Linked DNA regions of Mytilus edulis. The protein of the gene in region 2 binds, or shares a complex with, the protein of the main gene of each other region. Links are inferred from orthologs where the notes say so. Each region holds a gene or a part of one and is shown on either strand. Other genes may lie near its edges.

Evidence for each region.
Region 1: dystrobrevin beta-like (region 2) and beta-1-syntrophin-like share a complex: the UniProt entries of both Caenorhabditis elegans proteins name them as parts of the dystrophin glycoprotein complex. The link is inferred for Mytilus edulis from reciprocal best matches to the Caenorhabditis elegans genes dyb-1 and stn-1.

What each region holds. Positions count from the first base shown.
Region 1 is NC_092348.1:91,641,461-91,650,270, reverse strand, and holds the start of beta-1-syntrophin-like, read right to left. Parts: upstream 3,401-8,810; 5' UTR 3,383-3,400; coding exon 2,923-3,382; intron 1-2,922. Other genes in the region: uncharacterized protein, read left to right, coding at 4,329-5,334. UniProt on the Caenorhabditis elegans protein: Adapter protein that binds to and probably organizes the subcellular localization of a variety of membrane proteins. May link various receptors to the actin cytoskeleton and the dystrophin glycoprotein complex (DGC).
Region 2 is NC_092344.1:122,599,300-122,607,626, forward strand, and holds the start of dystrobrevin beta-like, read left to right. Parts: upstream 1-4,621; 5' UTR 4,622-4,694; coding exon 4,695-4,944; intron 4,945-8,327. UniProt on the Caenorhabditis elegans protein: Plays a role in cholinergic transmission and as a functional partner of dystrophin (dys-1), necessary for muscle maintenance. Required for localization of ctn-1 near dense bodies in muscle cells.

The DNA of each region.
Region 1 (8,810 bases), on a different chromosome or scaffold from region 2:
CTTAACAGACAAAGTCATGAAAGTGATGTTACAATTGATTAAACAGCACTTAAAGTTGCATTTAATACTTATGATTCGTGATAAATAAACTGAAGCAAATACTTTACTTTAATTTTTTCCTATATAATTGTAGACTACTATGTGACTACCAAGATAAAATAATATTTGATTTTTTTTTTTTAAATCTCTTTAACCATGCAATGTTCATGATGTTTAAGACTGTGAGACTTCAAGAGATTTATAGATTTTGGTAGCTTCAGACTGAAAAACTATCGGAACTGCTCAATAAATTAACCACACATTTCTAATCGTAAATAAATACATTTTTGTCATAAAGTAGATAGATATTATCATGTAAAATGACAAAAAATGGTGTTTCAATTTGATGTGACGTGTTTTATAATAGTTTCAGAATTTTGGATTGCTATCGACCCCATTTCTTATAACCTGGTTTGCATTCTGTACACTTCTGTGATGAAATAAATTGGATTATAACAATTTTGAAGTGACAGATTATAAGTTTGATAAACATGATACACTAGCTGGCATCACTTTAAAACTATAGTTTGAATGACATATTTTATTGATATTATCAGAAACTATTAGGATAATGGCAAATACTTTTTTTAATTCATGTCCGTTTCAGTATCATATATTTATTAATAATGACCCAACGATGAAATCAAAAGCAGGCAGCCACAGTGGGCCCCCTAATAAGAAAATTTCTGGATCCGCCACTAGCATGACTAGAGGCACCCTGGGTGGGACGGATTCTGGGTCCGTCCGCCCTGATTCTGGTTCGCCCTAGTTTCTGTTTGCCCTAATACCTGTTTGCCCCAAGTCTGTTCGCCCTGATTTTATTTTTTAGTAGAGTGTTGCGTTGTGTCTATATAATTGAATGTGTTGAAGTCAGTCTACAATTTGGACGAATAATTACGATGTATCATTTTGTTTATAGCTAGCTGCTACCAGGTTATAAGTTTCTGTACATTTCAGGACTACAAGATATTGTGACTTCAAGGTATTTTAAATGTAAAACAACTGAAGACTAAATTATTTGTATGTAATTGAATATATGTTGAAGTTTAAATTCACCGAATATTTATTTATGATGTATATTGTCATCTGTGGTACTGCTATAAGGAAATAAATTTCTCTGAATTTCAGCACTACATCGTATTTTTAAAAGTAAAACAACTGAAGACTAAGTTGTTGTCTTGCTGCTACGAGGATAAGTTTCTGTGAATTCAAAGACTACAAAGTATTTGACATAAAACAACTGAAGACTATGTCTATGTTCCAGACCATATGAGTATTTGGACCGTACGCGTACGGTCCGGACCGTATACGTATACTCGTACGGTCCGACCATACGCGTACGGTCGGACCGTATGAGTATACGCGTACGGTCCAGTACGAGCTGACCATACATGTTATTTGATCATATGGGTTAAATGGAAACAAGCATTTATCACAATCTTTATTTTTAGTTTTACAAATTGTTATTGATAATTTATTACAATTAGATAGATAAAATGAACAAACGAACAATTGAAATTAAGTAATTGTTTAATTTTATCTGAATCCCATTTTGGTACTCTCTCCCAAGGTGACACAATTCAAGTAACGTAATATTTTTTACATTTTCATGTATGCAGTTCATGCATGTTCCTTTGCATTTTGCTTTTTTTGGTAAAGTTGCTAAATATTCTAAAACAATTGTCCTCCCACATTATGTTTACTTCCGATATCTTCAATTTCAGTGATCATAATTCAATTAATGTATTACTGATCGACATGCTTAATACAAGAGATTAACAGATTTAATTAGCGTGAATTTAAAAAAAGTTAAAATATAAAGTTTTTGTTTCGATTACAATTGAACTTTTTTAGATTAATTTGAGTTAAGTTATGTTGATCTGCTATATGCATTTGTAACTAATAAACTTCACCAACTTTTTAATATTAGTCAGACCGTACGCGTACGGTCCGACCGTATGAGTTTTTTTGAAAAAGTACGCATACGGTCCAGACCGTACGCGTACGGTCCAAATACTCATACGGTCTGGAACACATATATTTAACTTTATTGATACATTTTAACAATTTGAAAATATTCAGTAACAGTTTAATATAACAAGATCAATTCCGAACTGTACTTCGCACACATTTATTTCCTAATCGAATATTTAAAAGCACTAATTTGAATTATTATTTGTGAAACAAATACCAAAAACACAGTCACACTGGCTGCTGTACATCACTTGTCATCAGTGTTTTAACCCATCCAAGCTGACTATTTTATTTGAGAAAAATGTTGTTTTCATTATTAATCCATCAAGGACAATTCATATAACAATCGGTGATATCAAAGATTTCAAATGATACATTATCAGCAATCAAAATTCAATGAACAGTAATTAAAAGTTAATAAAGTGTAAAAATGCAGCCAAGAATTTTATTTAATTAACACAAGGATTTGTATGTACTATACAAATCCTTGATTAATATAAATTTGGTAAATATTCTGTATTTAACTTTTAATAGATATACATTTTCAATATATATATCTATATACATGTGTATATTTCGTTCGTTAATGTAACATATACATACATGTATCATAAATGAATATAGGGCGAATGAACCCAGGGCGAACAAACTCAGTGCGAACGAACCTAGGACGAACATGTACATGATGTAATCAGGGCGAACGAACCCGATACCAGTGGGACGCATCTGAGCCTGATTATTCTATTTCTATAAAAATAAATGCGACTCTTGGATGCGTTATAAGACTATAATTAGCTGCGGAACCGTAGCTCTTAGGTCCTTATGTTATTTTTTTACTATTTGCGGACCAACATAAGGACCTAAGAGCTACGGTTACGCATCTAGACTATAATATGATAATTTGATTACCTTCTATATCTACAACTTTTTTTGCCTTTTTCAATGCTTTTACAGCATCATCATGAGTTGCTTCCCTTAGATCTTCACCATTTACAGACAAAATAGCATCTCCTACATAAAGCTTTTCAGTTTTGTCTGCCGCCATTCCTTTGAAGATTTTACTTATTAAAATTGGCATTTTATTCTCTTTTCCACCTTTAATACTGATTCCAAGGCCATTCTGTTCCTCTTTAACCACTCGCACAAGTCGTTTTTGCCCGGCGAGACTGTCTGGTAACTGGTCCGTTTTAGGAAGTGTGCTAGGTGCATCTGATGATCCAAGAGTGCTATTTGCTAACTCTGGATTTTCATCAAGTGTTAAAGTCAACGAATCCTCATTTAAAGTAACGTAAACTCTGCACCATTGCTGTCGAATATATACTTCGAACAGCCCAGATCTTGGCAGACCAGCCGCCATTTTGACAACCATCGTATCACGTGATTACTGTACTTACAGGGTGGGAAATTTCAAAGTTCTTTTTGGATAACATTCCGTCTGAGGAAACAAAAGATTGGGCTTGCTTTTTACGGTTATTTGCCTCTTACTACTATCAAAGGACTTGTTATCTACTTTTGTAATACAGATTATGAAAATAATGGTTTTTAATATTTTTGTAGATTTTTTTTAGAGGTGTTCGATAATGATTAAAATCAAAGACATATATATAATGATCTATAATACATGTATTATATGTCTCTGATAAAATATATACATTTGATGGTTCTTTTAATTCTGTTGACAATTATGAATTTTCTACTCTATACACTACACTTCAACACAATCTTATCAAGAAAAAGTTTTCCGATATTTAATTGAATGGTCTATTAAAATCGCATTGCAAATTTATTATATAACTTGTTGAAAGCCTTTTTTTCTGTAACGAAAAAGGAAAGTATGCTAGATACACATAATGGAAATGTGAAGATTTGATTGAAGCTTTAAATTTCCCCCTAACCTACATATATGTACGTTCGGCGATAAAATGTGTCGACAGGTAAGGTATCATTATGGGCATTTATTGTGTCCCTTTAATAGCAGATTTATTCCTGTATTGCTATGAATCACAGTGTATGACCAATCTCAGTAAAGACACGGCATTGTTACATTTGGTTGATATATTCAACAATACCTACCGTTATCTTGATGATATATTGTTTCGTTAAATAATCCAGAGTTCTCTAATGTACAACAGAAATTTACCCAAATGAACTTTATTTTAAATAAATCTAACATAGATTTAGACATTTCAATTTCGAAAGGGAAACTCCACATTAAAATTTACCACAAAAGAGACGATTGTTCATTCCCTATTGTTAATTTTCCTTTCTTTTTTAGTCGGCGATGTACCTTTTGCTTTATATCATACGATGTATATATGGATGTTACCTCCCTCTACACTAATATTCCACATGCAGATGGCATCGATGCATGCAAAGAAGTTTGGAATTCCAGACCAGTGAAATATCCACCTACTGAATGCCTGGTCAAAATGCTCACGCTGGTACTTAAGAAAAACAACTTCACTTTTGATGGAGATCATTATTTGCAAGTAAATGGAACTGCCATGGGCACCAAAATGGCTCCGTCATATGCCAACATATTTATGGGCAAATTAGAGAAACAACTCCTTGAAACTTCCATCGAAAAACCGCTTTCCTGGTTTAGATTTATAGATGATGTGGATATGAAATGGAATAAAAGCGACGAGGATTTAGACACTTTTATCACTCATGCCAACAACATACATCCAAGTATCAAATTTACTCATGAGAAGTCTAAATCCAAAATCGCCTTCCTCGATACTTCAAGTTCGCTCACAGAGGGCATCATATCTACAGATTTATATTCTAAGCCTACTGACACTCATCAATATTTGTCCCCTAAAAGTTGCCATCCTGCTCATCTTACCAAGAGCATTCCATACAGTCAGGCACTTAGAGTCAAGCGAATATGCTCCAACACAGAAACAACTAAAAGACAACTGCGTAAACTTGAAACTCGCTTGAAGAAAAGGGGCTACAAACACAGAAATATCAAAAAAAGCTTTCAGAAAGCGGAGTCAATTCCGAGGAGTGAACTATTGGAATACAAAGTTAAAAAGAAAAGCAAAAGGACTCCATGTGTTCTAACTTATCACCCATCTCTCAAAAACAGCTTTGGTGTCATTCGTGAGCATTGGAAATCAGTTGAAAAGAATTCCAAACTGTCCAAGATTTTCCCTGAGCCTCCAATGATAGCTTTTAGGCAACCTAGTAGTCTACGGAACCTACTAGTGCGGGCTGAAGTGTCTGATAATAGAAGTACTTCTGGAGAATGTCGTTCGTGTGGAGAAAAACGCTGCAAATGCTGTTTACAGATGCAGCATTCGTCAACATTTCACAGTAAGGCAACCGAAAATAACTATAAGATATTTTGCAATGTTACCTGCAAAAGTATGAATGTTATTTACATACTAGAATGTTCGGTTTGTGGCCTCCAATATGTTGGTGAATCAAAGCAGCCTTTCCACAAACGCCTCAATGGCCATAGGAGTGATATATCTAAGAAGCCACTTCTTCCAGTCTCTCAGCACTTCAGACAGTCAGATCACAAACTTGATGACTTTAACCGCATGAAAATTCTAGTGATTGAACAGAACATTCACTGGAGTGATGCACAGCGACAGGTTCGGGAAAGCTTTTGGATAAAGGAACTTAATGTACATCACCCAAACGGCATCAATAAGAAATACTAACAGTTTTGTTTTCACTTATTTTTATTGTTAATATACACAGTCACGTATATTGATTTATAGTGTTTTGTTTAAATTATGATATTCAGGATTAAAATCAATCGACCAAAACTTACCTGTATTATCACCTGATCTATTTTCACACCTTATACATTATGTATCAGTATTGTTAAAACTTGTGACACAAGAAGAAGGCCATTTGTTGAGCCGAAATATTTGTCAACACGATTTTATAACAACATTTTCGTTTAATAACACCTTATATCAGTACCGTTGTGCAAATCTTTAGACTGATATAATTTTTTCCTTATCTGCATAGTATCGCCTATTCTAGACGATCCGGTACATAGTAAATTTGCTGGTTGGTCCTTTTTATAGACTTTTATATATATATATATATATATATATATATATATATATAAGTACGTCTGAGTCAGTGACAACCCTACAACAGATGTATCCATCGGATCGCCATCAATGATGGTGATACATGGCTGTGTACATAATGTATATACAACTCGTCTAAACATCAACCCAACAATGTTAGATCTGTAAATTTGCTTTCGCAAATTTTTGGTTCTTCCCTCGCCGGGATTCGAACCCATGCTACTGTGATATCGTGACACCAAATCGCCTGCACTGCAGCCGTCCCGCTAGACCACGCGACCACCTGGGCTCTCAAAAAAAGAGCTTTCGCTGGCCGTGTGTTACCTTTCCACGTCAGTTTTAATCTAGCGGCGTACTGCAGTACATGATATATAAGGCATGAAGATGTTATTGTTACAGATCAGCTAAATTATCTATAGTAAAGGATCCTACAAATGAATGTAAGATACAGTCACAGAAAATAATTATATTTATAAGTACGTCTGAGTCAGTGACAACCCTACAACAGATGTATCCATCGGATCGCCATCAATGATGGTGATACATGGCTGTGTACATAATGTATATACAACTCGTCTAAACATCAACCCAACAATGTTAGATCTGTAAATTTGCTTTCGCAAATTTTTGGTTCTTCCCTCGCCGGGATTCGAACCCATGCTACTGTGATATCGTGACACCAAATCGCCTGCACTGCAGCCGTCCCGCTAGACCACGCGACCACCTGGGCTCTCAAAAAAAGAGCTTTCGCTGGCTCTTTTTTTGAGAGCCCAGGTGGTCGCGTGGTCTAGCGGGACGGCTGCAGTGCAGGCGATTTGGTGTCACGATATCACAGTAGCATGGGTTCGAATCCCGGCGAGGGAAGAACCAAAAATTTGCGAAAGCAAATTTACAGATCTAACATTGTTGGGTTGATGTTTAGACGAGTTGTATATACATTATGTACACAGCCATGTATCACCATCATTGATGGCGATCCGATGGATACATCTGTTGTAGGGTTGTCACTGACTCAGACGTACTTATAAATATAATTATTTTCTGTGACTGTATCTTACATTCATTTGTAGGATCCTTTACTATAGATAATTTAGCTGATCTGTAACAATAACATCTTCATGCCTTATATATCATGTACTGCAGTACGCCGCTAGATTAAAACTGACGTGGAAAGGTAACACACGGCCAGCGAAAGCTCTTTTTTTGAGAGCCCAGGTGGTCGCGTGGTCTAGCGGGACGGCTGCAGTGCAGGCGATTTGGTGTCACGATATCACAGTAGCATGGGTTCGAATCCCGGCGAGGGAAGAACCAAAAATTTGCGAAAGCAAATTTACAGATCTAACATTGTTGGGTTGATGTTTAGACGAGTTGTATATACATTATGTACACAGCCATGTATCACCATCATTGATGGCGATCCGATGGATACATCTGTTGTAGGGTTGTCACTGACTCAGACGTACTTATAAATATAATTATTTTCTGTGACTGTATCTTACATTCATTTGTAGGATCCTTTACTATAGATAATTTAGCTGATCTGTAACAATAACATCTTCATGCCTTATATATCATGTACTGCAGTACGCCGCTAGATTAAAACTGACGTGGAAAGGTAACACACGGCCAGCGAAAGCTCTTTTTTTGAGAGCCCAGGTGGTCGCGTGGTCTAGCGGGACGGCTGCAGTGCAGGCGATTTGGTGTCACGATATCACAGTAGCATGGGTTCGAATCCCGGCGAGGGAAGAACCAAAAATTTGCGAAAGCAAATTTACAGATCTAACATTGTTGGGTTGATGTTTAGACGAGTTGTATATATATATATATATATATATATATATATCACAACTCGTTCGTTATGCCCGTGTATGTAGTGATGTCATAGAATTTTCACGAAGTAATCAATGCATCATTGGTATATGCATGTTCTCTTTTCGCCCCTTTTCTATTTTTAATACATGTATCTGGAAAATAATCAAACTTCCAAAAAGCGAAATAATTAAAACTGCATGTTAAGTATAGTACTTTGAAAGTTTGATGAAATATCTAAACTAATACAATTTTTAAATGATTTTAGTGGTTTAAAAATTTTAGTCATTTGGTGAAAATTTCAAACTGATTACGAAAATTTTGGAAATAATGGTATTTTTTATAATTAAAAACAAATAAATTAGTACTGATAAGTGTTACACGGACCGACCATAAAAGAGTTTGTTTAGGCGACCGACTCCCGATTGTACTTTTCTGGTTTTACCTTCATAAGGATCGATAAAAGTATTAATTTTCCGCAAGTATAGTAAAATGATTAAAAAATTCTGAAAATGGTCCAAAAATAACAAATGGAGAAAAAAAAAATGAAGAATAATATGGCAAGGGCGGATCAAGAATCTTCATGTCTGGGGGAGCAGGGGGGCTGACCATGAGATTAAAATTATTTTTTCATTTTGAGTTGTATATATGCGATTTTTTGGTGTTATTGGTTGGGTGTCAGATCATCGTTTCTCTAGTTCTATTATGGTGATGAAAAATACAGATTAAAAGGCAAACTCATTAATAACGAATATAAAAAAAAAAATAGCTTAAGAAATGAGAAATATATCTAGTTAATGTATTTTTTTGATTTGTTTATCGTTCATATAATGTCTCTTAAGTCTACATGTATATAGGCGGAGTAAGGATTTTTGTATTGCTGAGTTATGTAAAACTTGTAGTGATTTTCATTATCTTATCTTATCTATC
Region 2 (8,327 bases):
GTTCTGGTTAAAGTTTTTGGTCAAGGTAGTTTTTGATGAAGTTGAAGTCCAATCAACTTGAAACTTAGTACATATGTTCCTTATAATATGATCTTTCTAATTTTAATGTCAAATTAAAGTTTTGACCCCAATTTCAAGGTCCACTGAACATAGAAAATGATAGTGCGAAGTCAGGTTAAAGTTTTGGTTAAAGTTTTTGGTCAAGGTAGTTTTTGATGAAGTTGATGTCACATCCACTTGAAACTTAGTACCCATGTTCCCTATGAAATGATCTTTCTAGTTTTAAAGCCAAATTTCACGGTCCACTGAATATGGAAAATGATAGTGCGAGTGGGGCATCCGTGTACTATCTGACTATGGACACATTCTTGTTTGTTAAATAATTTGTAATTTATGTGCTTTTTAAATATTGCATAAATTTGTACATTTTGTTTATACAAATAACTCAAATTCATCAAATGTTCATTAATGTAGAAAAATGTCATTTTTTGCTGTATATTGATTAAATTAAAAAAAAATGCACCATTTACGTTTTCATGAAAATTGGTACACGTAATCTTCTTGCATAATCAAACCAAATGTCATTTTAAAACAGAGGGGTCTATCAACTCTTTTTCCAGTTAAATCAGTTTGAATGATAAAAATCAGTCGAAAACTGTATCTTTTCTCGATAAGTCAACGTTTGATGTTGCAAAAATAACAATTTACATTAGCAACATCATTACCTCCCCTGTAACTGTATTGTATGCCCTTAACAGTCAGAGCTCAGACATAAACAAGTCTGAATCTGCTTTTGACTTATAGATGTCTAAATTTGTAAGTTTTAGGATTTGTCTCCCTTTAATGCAAGACAAAATACGACTTGAATAAGTCAAATATTGTTAAGCAAGAAATGATTGACCAGAATCAAAAAGTTGCAAATATCAACTCCTACAAGTCGATAAGTTACCAAAATTGGTCAACTTCAAGACCCACACATACTTATAAAAAGGTCATGCATCTAAATCAAATAATGACAACATTGAAAGCCAATGCCTTGTCTTCTAAAGAAAAATATGAATGAGAGTCTGAAAAATCGGGGATCATGTTAAGGTAGATCATAAGTAAATATTTTTTGAGACAGAATTTTCTTATACTTAGCCAGAATGAAGATTTTGATATGCTCTTTTCAAATATATAATAAAAAGGAGGGGTTACCGTGCTATTTTTCAAGCTATGAGTCGTTGAAAATTGCCTAAATTTGGTTAGATTGTTCATGGGAAAACACATTTGTGTGCATAAAAAAAAATCTATGAGATAGAATTTTGAAAAAAATTGTGAAAAGATAGGTTTTGTAATATGTTTTAAGAAAATAAAAAGAAAAAATGGTGTCACCGAACTTGTTTTCTTGCTACAAGTAAAAAGAAAAAAATTCCCTATCTGTCCAGTATAAATTTTTTACTAAAAGAGTTATCTTCCCTTAAATGGCTCGTTTGAAAAAAATGATTCTAAAAGCAAGAAAAATTATATTTGTTTAAATATTTTGGATTATACAATAAATTGCCAAGTTTTCTTTATATTATTAAACAGTCTAACCAATAAATTGCAAATCTGTCTTCAAATTTGCAGATTTAGGCAAATAACTAGACCGATTTTTTACTGTGATTGTTCAATCCAAGATGGCGGTATACCATGAATCTACCTTAATTAACCTTACAATGCAACCACCTGGATCCACCCTTAATGAGGTAAAACATCTGTGTTTAGTAAGAATGTTCAATTAGATAATTAAATATAGATAGATCAAGTCCTTGTGAACTCTCCGACAGGTTTTTACTGTCAAAGGTGGTGTAGTTTGGCCACCAAGTCAAGTTAAGTTTTTTCATCAACATAAATAGACCTAAACAAGTCTGTCATTTTGTGACTTAGATAAGTCTAAAATTGAAAACACATTTTTATAAAGAATACATGTTTTGACTTCTTTAAGTCAAAAACAGAAATAGACTTGTTTATGTCTGAGCTCTGACTGCTTAAAGGGGCACTGGCTGTCAAATTCATTGTAACCGATTTGACTCAAATTCTCATATTTGGTTTATAACAATGTAAAACATTTATCCAAACTATCAAAAGTCTAAAATAAACAGTTTACAGAGCATGGGGTAGATAATATATAGGTTCGTTTCGTGTGTATTTTAGTCCAGACGCCATCTAATTACCTATCGATTTGACCTCAGATGACCATATAAGCGATGTAAACAAAAATAAAGATACAAATAGATTAAACCAACACGTGCAATTGCATTTTTATAGGTCTGTTTGATTTTATTCTATAGATTAAAAATAGATGTTTCTCATTGTTTTTAACCATAAAAGAATGATTTTATGTGCATCGAATTAGTTATCAAATGATTTACCGTAGTTTCACTTTCATTGTTGACATTCTTTTTCTTTAAATAACCAGTACACGTACAATGCATGCGTTGTCAATCTCTAGCTAGGGGTTAACTTGAAGTTCACATGAATACCGGTTAGAATGATGATGACGTTTTCACTTGCAAGTGAATCAGTCAAAAATTATGTTTAATCGCTTATTTCAACAAAATTAAAGGAAATTGATTGTTAAAAGCAAATTATTATTTCATTATTTCAATTCGATTAATGATTGATCTAAAAAAAATCATACTTTATTTCTTTATATATATCGTAGCTAGTGCCCCTTTAACAGTCAGTTGTAAGAAAAACAAACTGACCTTAGATTATGACTACTTTGTTGTATGTGCATAACCATAATAACTGTAGATGGATAGTATGTACACTTTGTATACTCAGATGTTAAAAGTATGTCACTATTTACCACTTTGATAAGGTGGTACACTCTACTGTTCTTTCACATGGTGTCAAATAGACTGTGCTATTGTCACACATCAGTCACACTAATTACAATCATTGTTACTTACATGTTTGTTATTAGAAGAGAGATTCCATTGTGCTGAAGCTCTGTTCAGACCTAATTTTATTTGCTGATGGCTAAAGGATATATTATTCTTCATGGAGCATACTAATTACCGTATAAAAGTTTGATGAGAAAAAAAATGTTTTTTCATATTGATTATTGGCCCTGAGGGGGTTCTACGCTTGAAAAAATGCAGATAAGGGATAAATGTTAAAATAATTTGCTTTTATATAGAAAAAGATATATGTGAAAAAAAGTGGTTTTGAACAAATTGTAATATTATGATTATTGCTTATTAACATGATTATAATGTTAAACAGAATATAGATAAAACATACAAGTCACAACCTGTTAAAGTAAAAACTACATTAACTAGACAAGTACGGTACTATTGGAAATTCACATTTCAAATTTGCTGAGTGATATTTGAAGGGGAAATTTTTTCATGATAATGAAGTATAAAAAAATTAGAAAAGCAAACAGAAAAGTGAATATTGGAGAAATTATGATTGAGAAAATAATAGTAATATTATTTTTTACTAAGCATTCACAGCTTTATAATGTATAAACAGGTTGGAGACAAAAGATAAGCATATGCTACAGAGAATATTAGTGAAAAATTAAAAAGTTAATAGATTGTATTTAATATGATATGAACAACATAAAATAAAAACTGAGAATGTAACAGGTGAATTTATAGGATAATCAACCATCTATCTATTTCATGCTTTCCTTATAAAGGCGGTTGTTTTAATGGATATTAAAATTCATCAAATGGAAGAAATTATAAAATGATGCTGAAAGGTGATGGTACAGCATGTTTATAAAGATGGCTGATCAACATGATCAAATTGGAATGAACCATAATTTGTGTTTCTTCTAGATAATAGAATAGCAGAAGGATTTGAATTGTGACTTAACTTGAGTTGTCTCAAGTAGAATTGTTTGTTAAACAAGTTTTACTCTGCTTAGAAGTTGGACCATGGTTACATGAACGATATGGAACATTGTGTTATAACACTACCATGACTAGCTAGCTCATGGAATATATGTTCTTTCTATACATTTATACAATCATGTTTTGATATTTGAAAAGGAGATATTTTATTATTTGTTACATAAACGTGGATTTAAATAATTATCAGAAAATTATACTTTATAATTATATACATGTCATATATATTTACATGCAAATATGCATTTTTAGGATAGGATTATGTAAACAAATTTGATGAGATGTTTAGCTAATTATTTAGTGAAACATGATTATGTTTTATAACATGATACATGTTATCTCAAAAACTTGTACATGTTGTATATGAAATTAAAAATAGGACTATAGTTTAGGGGAAATGAAATGAATTCTCAAATGTGGAATGCTTTTTACCCTTATCAACCAATACATGCAGGAAAAGTTAATTAAACAATATGCTTAAAATGTGTACAATTCCCAGTCTCTGTATTACTCTATAAATATTGGATTTGCTGGATTAATTCAAATGACATGGAATAGAAAATGTTCAATATAAAACCTGTTTTATGTGGATTTACTACTTAATGTTGACTTACAACAAAAAACCTGCTTTGTCACTAATTCTATTTAACAATAGGAACAAACATATCATATGGTACTTCCAATAGTTAATAGCTTATTAGGTTTTCCAATATTCTTGGTTTTATTTAATGGGATATTAAGTGAAGTATAATTTTACACTGGATATGGTTTGTTTACTTTGTACATGATGTTAAATTTATGTGATTCATGAATAAAGAAGAATCAGCAACATGGCCACTGGTCACTTCATCTGACCAATCAGAAATCAGCTCGCAAGATGAAGATGAAAAACAAAATTATAAACTTTTAAAGAGAACGGGATCAAATGACTCTGTATGTGAAATTAATAATAGTAAGGAATATAAGAAACTGAAGCAGTTTAGGAAAACCAATAGAAAGAAAAAATCCAGGAGTAGATGTTGTGTGGGCTGTCTTTGTTGCTTCAAGGGAAATACAGGTAAATCATATCAAAACTCACATGCTAATGGACAGGTAAATCATATCAACATTCACATGTTAATAGACAGGAAAATCATATCAACACTCACATGCTTATGGACAGGTAAATCTTATTAACACTTATATGTCAATAGACAGGTAAATCATATCAACACTTACATGCTAATAGACAGGTAAATCTAAGAATAGATGTTGTGTGGACTGTCTTTACTGCTTCAAAGGAAAGACAGGTAAATCTTATCAACAGGCACACACTTATAGACAGGTAAATCATATTAACGTTATCATACTTATGGACAGGTAAATCCTATCAAACTCACATGCTTATAGACAGGTAAATCATATCAACACCTACATGCTAATAGACAGGTAAATCATATCAACACTAACAACACTAACATGAAATAGTCGGGTAAATCATAATAACACTCACATGAAATAGACGGGTAAATCATATCAACATTCACATGCTTATGGATAAGTTAATCATATACACCCTCACATGTTAATAGACAGGTAAATCTTATTATCACTCAGATGATAATAGACAGGTAAATCATATCATCACTCACATGCTAATAGACAAGTTAATCATATCATCACTCACATGCTAATAGACAGGTAAATCATATCATCACTCACATGATAATAGACAGGTAAATCATATCAACACTTGCATGCTAATAGACAGGTAAATCATATCATCACTCACATGATAATAGACAGGTAAATCATATCAAAACTCACATGCTAATAGACAAGTAAATCATATCATCACTCACATGTTAATAGACAGGTAAATCATATCAATACTCACATACTAATAGACAAGTAAATCATATCATCACTCACATGTTAATAGACAGGTAAATCATATCAAAACTCACATGTTAATAGACAGGTAAATCATATCAAAACTCACATGTTAATAGACAGGTAAATCATATCAAAACTCACATGCTAATAGACAGGTAAATCATATCAATACTCACATACTAATAGACAAGTTAATCATATCATCACTCACATGTTAATAGACAGGTAAATCATATCATCACTCACATGATAATAGACAGGTAAATCATATCATCACTCGGATGATAATAGACAGGTAAATCATATCAACACTTGCATGCTAATAGACAGGTAAATCATATCATCACTCACATGATAATAGACAGGTAAATCATATCAAAACTCACATGCTAATAGACAAGTAAATCATATCATCACTCACATGTTAATAGCCAGGTAAATCATATCATCACTCACATGATAATAGACAGGTAAATCATATCAAAACTCACATGCTAATAGACAAGTTAATCATATCATCACTAACATGCTAATAGCCAGGTAAATCATATCATCACTCACATGTTAATAGCCAGGTAAATCATATCATCACTCACATGATAATAGACAGGTAAATCATATCAAAACTCACATGCTAATAGACAAGTTAATCATATCATCACTAACATGCTAATAGCCAGGTAAATCATATCATCACTCACATGTTAATAGACAGGTAAATCATATCATCACTCGGATGATAATAGACAGGTAAATCATATCATCACTCACATGTTAATAGACAGGTAAATCATATCAATACTCACATACTAATAGATAGGTTAATCATATCATCACTCACATGTTAATAGACAGGTAAATCATATCAATACTCACATACTAATAGACAAGTTAATCATATCATCACTCACATGATAATAGACAGGTAAATCATATCATCACTCATATGATAATAGACAGGTAAATCATATCAAAACTCACATGCTAATAGACAAGTAAATCATATCAACACTCAAATGATACTTCATTATGTCTCCCTTACAATTTAATGAGAAAAAGATATAGTTTGGAAGTTCATACTTTGAACTAGAAAGAGAACCAAAAATTAATGCCAAATTAAAGTTTGACCCCAAAATCATGGTCCACTGACCATAGAAAAATGATAGTGCAAGTGGCGCATCCGTATACTACGGACAGGTTCTTGTTTCTGTAAAGCACTTACTGGCATTTATTGCAAATCCTAATTTCATATGAACACCTTCAAAAGTATTCTCTGAAAGAAACTCTATTGATTCAGAAAAAATAGGAAAAAATGGAAATAGTAATTGAATTTCATTTAAGATGGAGGAAGTACTATATATACTACAATATGTTAGTATTTTATGTCCTTAGACCTATAGTGAAGTGTATATTACTTTATAATTATCTGTAAACGACCAGTATTGATCTATTATGCTATATTGTTAATGTAGAAAATAGGCAGATTGATGGATGGAACCTTTAGTGAAATAAATTATTGAGAGTATGGAAACTTGTCTGTAAATAGTACAGCAACTATAACCTGAAGGAAAAAACATTGGAAAGGATCACATTGGCTTTTAAAGTTGAAATGATCCAGTCTAGTCCTAGGTTCCCCATGAGTTAATGTATTTACATATTTTCTGGCACATTGAACCTCAAGAATTTCTAAACCTAAATATTGACCTACTGGCTGTTAGTCTCAACTTAAGCATTGAGCATGAAGGCTAACACAGCCTGTTTGACCTTATATTCTTCTGTGGACTGTATTAAAGTCTTTCCCATTATAAGGCCTCATATGTCTACAAGGCATTTAAATTTATCTTTGGGCCATTACTTTAAGACATGAGACTATTATTGATCTTGCGGAAATATTGTCTGTAGTGTAATATAAAAAAGAAGATGTGGTATGATTGCCAATGAGACAACTTTCCACAAAAGACCAAAATGACACAGACATTAACAAATATAGGTCACCGTACGGCCTTCAACAATTAGCAAAGCCCATACTATTCACCACAGATATTAAACTTTCTGTTAATTTGGGTTCCACAAGGCTGACATAGAAATGTCATCTGTCCATCTGTTAAAATTGAAAAACATTGTGTATATAAAGAAAAATTGTTTATCACTTAGAAAAATACGATTAAATAAAATATATTGTAAATGATAAATTTTGAACTAGTTACTGACACCACCACACATACCTCAATAGAATGTCACAAATGGATCATGTTGATTGGTTGTCTTTAATAATTTTATGAGTTATTGTAGTTGACATGCAAAGTTTAGTAGGATAAATATAAAAATTACTGTACAGATATTTTAAATTGCATACACTCATCTGCATCTGCAAAAATATTATCATCTCATGGAGGCTAATTAAATTCTAAATTTGTTTTTCATCTGCAAACATATTTTGTGTACAATATTGAAATATGATAATTCTACAGTGAATTATGTCATAGTAAAACTACAGGAAAGTTTGACTATCGATTGAATGTGCATCTTTTCAGTGAAATATTAGATGATAATCAGTTAATCAGA